Linked DNA regions of Drosophila melanogaster. The protein of the gene in region 1 interacts with the protein of each later gene in a pairwise test. Each region holds a gene or a part of one and is shown on either strand. Other genes may lie near its edges.

The links. Proteins that work in one complex are often made in the same cells at the same time.
Region 2: the proteins of CG17698 (region 1) and INPP5E interact in a two-hybrid assay, tested with the Drosophila melanogaster proteins (one large-scale study listed by BioGRID).

What each region holds. Positions count from the first base shown.
Region 1 is NT_037436.4:23,736,116-23,741,010, forward strand, and holds the start of CG17698 (uncharacterized protein), read left to right. Parts: upstream 1-1,844; 5' UTR 1,845-2,069; intron 2,070-4,045; 5' UTR 4,046-4,096; coding exon 4,097-4,895.
Region 2 is NT_037436.4:12,275,713-12,281,976, forward strand, and holds INPP5E (inositol polyphosphate 5-phosphatase E), read left to right. Parts: upstream 1-1,942; 5' UTR 1,943-2,024; intron 2,025-2,513; 5' UTR 2,514-2,571; intron 2,572-2,641; 5' UTR 2,642-2,947; coding exon 2,948-4,167; intron 4,168-4,236; coding exon 4,237-5,151; intron 5,152-5,212; coding exon 5,213-5,321; 3' UTR 5,322-5,764; downstream 5,765-6,264. Other genes in the region: Sms (spermine synthase), read right to left, coding at 1,178-1,462.

The sequences.
Region 1 (4,895 bases):
ATTCCTACGCCAAGGCCGTAAAGGACCGAGTGCAAACATCTGGAAACGGCAAGAGCAGCTTCCACTGTAGGCAAGGTAAAGCCAGCAAGGATGAGCAGGGCCAAGACAGGAATCCACATTTTGTCAGGAGAACTTTGAGAACCAATAATGACAACCAGGTCCAAGCACCCCAACTCGTCCTCCAGGTTTAGGCAGCGCACTAAACACAATAAGAACCACCCAAATTATTCGAATGCTCCTAAGAGAAGACATTCCTCGGACCGTTCGATAGGTCAAAGACGTCAACGTCTTAATTACGTTGTCCAAGAAACCTCCAAGACTAAAGACCCTAAGACCCCAAGCAGAAATACGAACAGGCAGCAAGGGCTTCAGTCGAAGAGATCGCTGAGTACGCTCCTAGCGACGACTCACTAAATTTTTTTGGGGACTCTCCCGGTTGCCGTTCATTGAACGACGGTTGCGTGGGAGAACTTTAAGAATGCTAATCGACTCCGACGCGGTAAAAAAATTACATTAAGCCCGTAAAGGAGCTAAAAAATGTAATGCCTGTCGCCCGCTCTCGGTAAGTTCAATACATGGCTCCATATTAAACAAAAGTGCTTAATGAAGGTTTTCAAGCACACCTCTCAATTTTGTCTATTGAAATCACTCAACTCGTTCGACGCTCTTATAGGCTTGGACACGGGCCGGAGTAAAGTTTAACCTAGCAGAATATTAGGGCGTTTATGAAAAACTTTACTATTTCATCTGCCCTAGCGCAAACTTAACTAATGTGAATGACATTGTTGTACCTGCCTCTATTAAATAGGAGTTCAAGAACACAATTTTGAGAGAAAAAAGCCCTTATCTACTTCAAATGACACCGCTGGTACATATATACATATATACATATATACATATATACATATATACATATATACATATATACATATATACATATATACATATATACATATATACATATATACATATATACATATATACATATATACATATATACATATATACATATATACATATATACATATATACATATATACATATATACATATATACATATATACATATATACATATATACATATATATATACATATATACATATATACATATATACATATATACATATATACATATATACATATATACATATATACATATATACATATATACATATATACATATATACATATATACATATATACATATATACATATATACATATATACATATATACATATATACATATATACATATATACATATATACATATATACATATATACATATATACATATATACATATATACATATATACATATATACATATATACATATATACATATATACATATATACATATATACATATATACATATATACATATATACATATATACATATATACATATATACATATATACATATATACATATATACATATATACATATATACATATATACATATATACATATATACATATATACATATATACATATATACATATATACATATATACATATATACATATATACATATATACATATATACATATATACATATATACATATATACATATATACATATATACATATATACATATATACATATATACATATATACATATATACATATATACATATATACATATATACATATATACATATATACATATATACATATATACATATATACATATATACATATATACATATATACATATATACATATATACATATATACATATATACATATATACATATATACATGGTGGTTATATAATATAATAATATAATATATAATATATTAGGAATATTATTATTCCAGCTATCGACTTAGTTATCGATACGACTAAGAGCTTTTAAAGCTGCAATGGGAAACTTTTAATTCGTCTTTTATTTAAAGCTTAGATGTTTTTCCTCCAGTTAGTAATTTTTATATAATGTTCTCTATTGGTGTAGTTGTGATTATGAAGTTAAATGAAGAACGAATTAAAGGGAGATGTAACCGAAATGCAGATGCCATCTGTATATTGGCGCAATAATGACGTAACTGGTTTATAAATACAATCGGTGTGTAACAAGAATTGTTGTAGTCTACTAAAATTATTTGTAGGAGTTTTACATACATATGTTTGTACGTACATATGTGCATAAATAGAAAAAGCACAAAAATTACTCAGTAAAATTCATTTAATATAAAATGTCATTTAAAGTATATTGTATAAATTATATGTACATAGTTACACATAGTACACACATACATACATAGTTACTGCACAAACGTTTGCACATGCACACATATATACATACATACATATGTCTATAAAGTGCACATGTGGACATTATTAAGTAAAATCTGAAAATTTAATAAATTCAAACGAACATTTCAAAGTGCATACACGGCAGATTCACTTTTCCTGGGATATTTAACCAGTGCCATAGCTCTTAAAGAAATAGTTCTAGTGTATGTACATATGACCATGTCCGTCTGTCAGTTTTTGGTTCGCATGGACGATCAGATTTCAAGACTGTGAAACCTACAGAAAGTAAAGATTGGGATTTAGAGTCATATGAATTAGATCCAGCCGTTTGTTTCAGATTGACATATGCCCACAAACAGGCCGAATTTTGAATTATCAGATTCCCGTTACTCAGCTAGTGTGATTGCGAACGCGAAATTTAAAAATTTTTCTGCGATAGCAAAAGATATTGTTGAATAAAATGCTTTTGAACAAAGCGATAGAAACATACAAGATTTTAATGTTTGAAAAATGTGGGTGTGGCAGTTTTGGACAGTTTTAGGGCGTTAGAAACATAGTTCATCATTCTAGCTTTTATAGTTCCTGAGATCTCGAAGTTCATACGTTCAGATGGACATGGCAAGGTCGATTCCGCTATTGATCCTGATCAAGAATATATATACTTTATATCGTGGGAAAAGATTCCTTCTAGTATAGTTTTACTCTACGAATAACGGGAGCCTATGCTAATAGACTTTTGCGTATATAAGATGATGTGCATATGATGACAAATGAGACAACATTGATAAGATCTCCTAAATATTTTGGTACATAAATAAGAACTGTAGTTCAATAAGGAATGATCATTTTTAGTTACTCGTCATGTCCTATGGAATTGGGAGTATCTTTTAGTTTAGTGTAAATATGGGACCACACGTCCAATTAACCGTAAAGTAAAAAAAATTTCATTTATTTTCCTTTGGCTCATACCTTTTTACTAATTTTATTGTTATCATGTTCTGTGTCGCATCACAAATGTAAAGTTTCTTTTGATTTTTTGCCGACTTAGATAGTCGGTTATCAGATGCCCATTAGTCAGTTAGTGGGAGTGCGAACGAGAAGGTTCAACATTCTTTTTGGCATATCAATAGAAAAAAATAGAAAAAAGCAAAAAAAAAAAAAAATTAATATACAAAAATTCAATTGCGTGGATGATGGTCTTTAGGGCGGATTGTGGAATTTAAAATGCGCGTGTCAAAAAAATGTTTTGCATACCGCTATAAATTTGCAAGACAAATAATAAAGTTACACAATTAATAAAAATTAATTTAACCGTATGTGTCTATTATGTGCCGCATCTGTATTTTATTATAACGAAACGAAAACAAGAGATAATTCTAGAGTCGAGTTCGCCGACTCAATGTCCGTCTGTCCGTATAAACGCCTTGATCTAAGAAACTTTAAAAGCTAGAGTTGAGATTAAGCATGCAGTTATCAGAGTCATAAACGCACATATTTGTTTGCAAATATTGCTACGTCCATTCTAGCCCACACTTACTTTAAAAAGTGTCAGTGAAATGTTACATGATTAAATGTATATTTCAATATACTTTTATAAAAGACCAGTGCTTGATTATGTATAATCTTGATTGTTATAATCAATCCGCCTAAGAAGGTCTTTAGTTATAGTTTACTATTTACGGAGTTGTTTGAAGGATTTTGTGTTTCGAACAAAAGTATTAGTATTTAATGCAGCATTTGATCAAACTGATATATAAAATTGATAAATTGGTTTTCTGTTTGCAGGATTTTATCACGTACAACATCAAAACAATTATATTACACTAATAAAAAAAAATGGATTTAACAGATCCATTATTAATTACAAAGTCTCAGCAAGTCAACAGCCAAGAAGTTGATTTTCAGAAAAAAACTGAGGATACATTTCCTTCAAAGTTTCATAAAAATAAAGCTAGTTGTGGACTTTTGGCTGTTAATGAAAGTCGCTGTACAGACCATCAATTACAATGTGAAAACAATATCGTGGGGTTGTCATTAGAAACTCAAATTGCAGAAAATTCTTCAATAAATGTTTCGAGAGAACTTAAACCTCACGATCACACTTTTCCGAAAGATAAACAAACTTTTAAACAAATATCAGATGAATTAAGGAAGTCATATGAAAATATTAATAAAGTTCAGAATATTAAAAAATCCCAGTCTGTAGAAAATTTTGAAAAATGTTCTGAAATAAATTTAGCCAATAAATGTTTATATACAAATTTAAATACAAGTCCTAAGGAAAGAAATGCCTTGGATAAGCAAGCAATGTTTATTAAATTTCATTCTCTGGAATTGTGCACTGATAAAGTATGTAGTCTACACATACATGAAAACTTTTGTACTGATATCCATAAATGCGTAGTCGATTCCGAATCGAATAAGCCAAACAAAATGAAAAAGTGCTTAGATTATGAAAGCGTTAAAAGGTATCCTTGTAAAGTTTCTAATGAACCACCTCAACATAATACGGCATCAAAACCTCAAATCTTATATGAGACTCGTCCTATCTACCCGAATGTACCGTATAGCCCTTATAGTACTCCTTTCAGTAGTCCTCGATCTAGTCGACGGAAACCAGCTTTTCGGGAGTCTA
Region 2 (6,264 bases), about 11 Mb from region 1:
AAGATATAGCATTTCAAATGATACGAGGAAATAATAATGGGTCTGATAATATTAGTTACTCCTATAGAAAAGTTGGTTTAGGTTGATTTCTTTGTTCGATTACTTGATTAAATTATTTATAAAGTACAAAGGTTTGTTGAGATTATATCCTAACTAACTCCATCATTGTATAAAAATATAATTTTATAAAAATTTTACTTGGGATTTTGTTAAAGCTATAGTTATAGAACAAAACAATTTTAGACTTTTTGACATAATTTAATTTTTTTGATGCTATTTAGCTTACCGTAGCTGTAGGCATATGTACATGGGACATTTTCTCTAGCATTTTAGATGTACTTAAACAAATGATGGAAGAAATTGAAATATTCTATCAAATTTTATATTCTTTGTTGTTTTACAAACAAATACTGGTTGTCATTTTGAAAACCCTCAGATTTGTGGTATCAACAGTCATTTTGTTGACTTAGGTTTGTTTATATGTGCATGCGTAAGTAGAGTAAACTGGTATAAGAAAGTTTAAGTATCAAATGAAATAATGCGTGCCTAAGGGTGTAACCTGAAATCTGGTTTCTGTAATAAGGGCCGCATATTCCGGGTGTTTTTCTTCTTATTAGTATGGGTACCATGCCCCAAAGGGGCGCCAATCAATAGATCGCGAGTCGAACCCAACCCACGTGCTCCGGCCAAATGTGAAAAGCATAGAAACGGGACCGGAACGACAAGTTAACCTAGCAAAGCCCAGCTGAAATCGCTATGTATGTGATGTGTGCTTCAGAGGTGTTAGATAATAGAAACTGGTGAAAGTGCTGGGATGGGGGCAGCCATCACTTGAGGCCAAGGACGGACGAACTGACCCTGACCAAGTGCCGGCCATTTGAGCTCGCCGAGTGGTCAGGAACACACTCACACACACAACCAATCAACCCACCCACATGGTTGCCCACTTGCCATGCACACACCCCCACATGTATGTATGATGAAGCAACAACACTCGGGTACAAGTGCGCGGAAAATCAATTTTACCCGGTGGGTGGAAAACCCTTTCCCCAACTAATCAGCCGAGACACGGAAACTGGGAGGGTAAGAAAGATGTGGGTGGTGGTGCTGCTGTCGGGTGTTTGCTTGCTTGTTTTTTGAGTTTTTTAAAGGAATCTAAATTGCACTGAATACGTACGTCGAAGGATATGCTCGGCTCCTTGCCATCGGGCAGGAAGTACTCCACGTTGAGCGTCAGCAGGCCGTGCTGGAAGATGCGGCAGGTAATCACCGTGTCCTTGTTCTCGTGCAGCACCGCAAAGTAGCCGTTTTCCGGCGACTCCATCGAGTAGGCCAGCTCCAGCTGGGGGAACAGCTGCTCCAGCTCGTTACGCAGGATTTTGGCCACCTGGAGGCGCGCCTCCTCATCCGCCGTCTTGTCCTTGTCCAGCGTGAAATCAAACAGTATCGTCTGGGCCGCCATCGTGCTTAACTTGCGCTAATCCGTTGAACAAAAACGCTGAACCGCGTACCGACCGAAACGAAATACTAGTGATGCGCCTTACGAGCACCGATAGCAAGTCGATTTCGATTGCACTTCTAGTGTGGCTGTATAATACAGTTAATTAAACCTTATTATTTTTTTTAATATAAGAAACGGTTTATTAAATAATTGTAAAAAATAATAAAGTACATTTAATAATAATGTTATAAATTCCTCTTAATAAATTTTTGAAGGGTACTTGGCCCACAATTTTGTATTGAATATATAGCGCTTTGTTATGTATGTTTACCTAATAAATATTACATTGGTACGTTTTGCTGGAAACACAATTAAATACAAATCTTAATTAATATTTAAGAAATATTTCTTTAAATCTATCGTGTCACAACCCAGCCACTGAAACACCCCCGCCCGCACCTATCGATACGTGCTCCCACTTATCGGCAGTTGGCTGCCCACTTTTGCCACCCCTAAATCGCAGTTCCCACGACAAGTTCCGCACTTGCTCGGAGTTTTTGGGTGTAAACAACATTGGAACGCGGTAAATCATACAAAAATTACATAAATCGCATAGGTGACAGCAGCGTGGAAGGGTAGTGCGTACCAGTGCGGAACATGAAAAGCACACCAAGAGCGAAATCAATGCGCACCTGAACCTGAACTTGAATATCGCATGTGTGCTATGTGCTATTGTTGCTGCTTTTATGCTAGACGTAGGCCAACAACACAAGAACAACAAGGCTGCGCTGACGGGAACAATGGTCTGCTAATTATAAATCTCTCGATCCCAGAGAATCGAATCAGCCAGCAGACGACGGATATTGTGCTTGTGTTCAGACGTTCAGATGCTGAGTGCTCAGTGCTTGGATGCGTGGGCGCCGCAGCATGCCAATGTTGTTACGTCGTCGCCAAAGACCACCCTTCCGCGACCAACCACCCCCCAAATCGCCCACAATCCTCCCCATTTTATATATCGCGACGGTGTCGCCACAGTTATTACCCAGCATATTGATTTTCTGAATCCTTTCAGCTCTCTCGCCCCAAAGGATCTGCCCACATATGTGTTTTTTTTATTTAGTTGCTTGCAGGTTAGTAAGTGTATTATACCCTTGGTATTACCAACCCGCCTAAATGTTTACCTTCATTAAAATCTTACAGAACAGCACACGCAATCGCCGCCAGTCAGCCCAATTAGCCTGATTTCGTGTACGTCATCGCCGAGCCCAAAATAATTTGCATTGCGACCAGCCAGAACGCCGGACCAAAGTCGCATTTGCATTGTGCTCGCTCGATGACGTCTGGCTTTACTATTTATATGGCCGGCAGCCAGAGGCCATCGCACAATGAGCTCGGTTCGAGAGATCCGGCAGATAGAGCGAATTAACTTGACAAAAGGGGGGCATGATAACCACTTAGCACCTTCACCTTAGATGATAGAATCATTTCGTTCGGACTAAAGCCAACATGCAGCACAGCAGCGCGGGAAGTGAGGAACGGATAACCAGTTCCACCAGCAGTCCCAGATCCGGTCACAAGACCGCGAGCTCCCTGTTCGGTTTGCTGAGCAAGCGACCTAGTAAGGTGGAGCCACATCCCGTGACACCCGAATCGCCAAGATTACAACAGAGACCCGTGTCCGCCTGTGGCCAATACGATGTCAGTTTCGCCAAGTGCAATGCAGATACGTCTGCAAACCATGTCAATAACAATGGGAGCACCCTCAAAAGCCAAACGCTGCCGCTGGAGAAGTCGCACAGCGGGCTGATCAGCTTCCACAGGCGTGCAAAGCCAAGTTCCTCGAAAGGAAAGAATCACTCGCACCGGCACAGTACGGATGCTGGTTCCCAAAGCGATGGAGGAGCCGACGTGGTGATGCGGCGCAAGTCGCCCAAGCATCGCTCACCCAATCACAATAGATTTAGTCACCAGTTCAGTCTGTGCTGCAAGGCGGAAAAGAAACCGATGACACCGCCGGTGACCGTGCGTTATAACTCCATACCGGATAGCAACAGTGTTCTGCGGCGCGATAACCTCTCGCTAAGTTGGAGCATGGTGGACAACAACTCGGGCTCGCTGCACTCCAGCGAAGGATCCTCACACCGACCGCGTCCGTCCAGTGAGTGTGCCAGTGCGCCAGAATCACCGGTGGCCAGCAAAACCTTCTTTGCCCACTGCAGCCCTGCTGCGGCCAGCGCTTCGGTGGCACGGAGCGAAAGCCTTCAAAATCGCTCGCCCATTCGACCCATGGCAGTATCAGCCTGCCGATCCCGACTGCGTTTAAAGCTCTATCCACCTGGACAAGAGTTACCCCCTCTTCAGGCAGCCACAGAACCTGGTGACATTAAAAGAGCCACCACACCACAGCACATGTCCTCGCCGAATATAGCCACTCAGCCAGATGGAATAGAACACATAGAGGAGCAGCCAGGCGTGAGGTTTATGTCGCACGAGAACATGACACTCCAAAGACAGGGTTCGGGATCTAATCTGGCTCGCCAGACTTTAATGGCGGCACATGCATTGAATCTGATCCCGGCGGATAACGCCAGGGAGCGAAGTTACCTGGATGGCAGGCTGGGATCAACTTCCCTTTTGGGTCCCAGTGAGCTAAGCCGCGTGCTGCCGCAAAAGGAGATTACCGTCTTTGTGGGAACTTGGAATATGAATGGCCACAGTCCACCCAAGTATGTAAATTTAATAAATTAAGTCTAAAAGCTTATGAGTTCATATCTCAATTATTCTTTTTATTGCAGACAACTTAATGATTTTGTGCTGCCAGCCAATGTGGAGCACGTGCCCGACATTGTGGTAATGGGCACACAGGAGTCCACCCCAGACCGCTTCGAGTGGGAGGTCACCATTCAGGAGACCCTAGGTCCCTCTCACGTGCTCTTCCATGCCACAACTCTGGGTACCCTCCACCTGGCTGTGTATATGCGACGGGACTTGATCTGGTACTGCTCCGTTCCCGAGGACGCATCTATGTCGGTGCGCACGGGCTCCGCCTTTCGGACAAAGGGTGCCGTGGCCATATCCTTTTGCCTGTTTGGCACTTCCATGCTGTTTGTGACCTCGCATTTAACGGCGCACCAGCAGAAGGTTAAAGAGCGTGTGTCGGACGTTAAGCGGATAATCAATGCTCTGGACTTGCCTCGCAATTTGCCCAATCAGCGGCATAAGAACAAAGATGTCACGCAGAACTTTGACAATGTCTTCTGGTGCGGCGATCTTAACTTTCGACTGGGTGAGCCGCGTGAAAAGCTGCTGGAATGGATTCAGAACACCAAGTTCCCGCTGCCGTCGCATTTACCGCACGGTTACATGCACACGGATCAGTTGACTTCCGTTCTGGCTGATGGCGCCGCCTTCCGAGGATTTATGGAGGCGAACATCACATTTCCACCCACGTACAAGTACGATCCGGGCAGCCAGAACTTTGATACCTCGTCGAAGCAGCGAGCTCCCGCCTACACGGATCGCATTCTCTACAAGTACCGCCAAATGCAGGGACTAGTCATCCGTCGGCAGACCCTAGTGCCTGGTGTATCCACACCCACGCAGCCGCATGTCCAATGTCTGCTCTATGACTCGGTGCCATCGATAACCACCTCGGACCACAAGCCAGTTTGGGCGCTTTTTCGAACACTCATACGTGCAGGAACCGATGCGTGAGTAATTGGAATTATTACAAAGAAAATAGGATTCTAATGAACTTTCCTTTTTCTTCAGAATTCCCTTGGCTGCTGGGCTCTTCAGTCGCGACATTTATCTGGAGGGAATGCGTCGACGCTTGAATAACCAATATAGCGGCGCCTCCGCCGTTTGTGTGTTGCAGTAAACTACTGAGATGCTAACCAAAGCTAGGCTTCCTAATGGCCGCCTACCCACGTTGAAATCTATTTAGTCATTTACTCGAATCTCAAAGTGCTAGTCAAAGCTTTCCTACGGTTGTGCGACGCCTTTGTATTAACCCGATTAGATTGTTATCCAGTGCGCTGTCGGATATCGAAGTAACGATATAACCATTACTTACCCTGCAATGCTGCGGTAGATCTTAGGCGCTGCCTTTCGCCTCGAGGCCTTAGTCGTAATACGTTCCTTATGAGATTATCTAATACATACTCGTGCAACAATTCTGTACCTCTACTCTGAAGCACAAGCTTAGTTCGTAGATAAACTAAATCTGATAGTTAAAGTTTAGTCAAATATTGAAATGAAATCGAAATATGAATTACTTTGAATGTGTAATGTTAACTAGCAGTAAATATATTTTATGCATCTAAAGGAAGAGCTTTATTAATTGTTGAAATACTCATTATTATTTATTGTTAGTCTTATTGTTTATTATTATTATTATTATTATTATTATTTATTATTACTATTATTATTTAGTTTTTATAAGAGTTATTGTTGAATTATGTATAGTGAAGTTGATTACTTTTATAATTTGAAACCCAAATGAAGTTTTTAACTTTATTCAAGTAAGCGCCAATTTTTTGTTTACTTTTATTAAACGATTAAACGCTTGAGCTGCCCGTTTGCGTACTTAAATTCCAAAATTCCAAAATTGCTGGGAGCAGGCCACTCGACAAAAACAAAAGCGTATATGCTGCGGGGTCGTTTATTCCCCGAAAATGCGCCAAAAACGACCGGAACGACCAACTGCTCTACCCCCCCATCATACCCGTGCGCCACTTGGACACACACACGCAAATATGTTAAACTTTTGACCAATTTCAACTTGAGTTGGTTGCCATCGGACACACTCCGGGGGCAGCAAT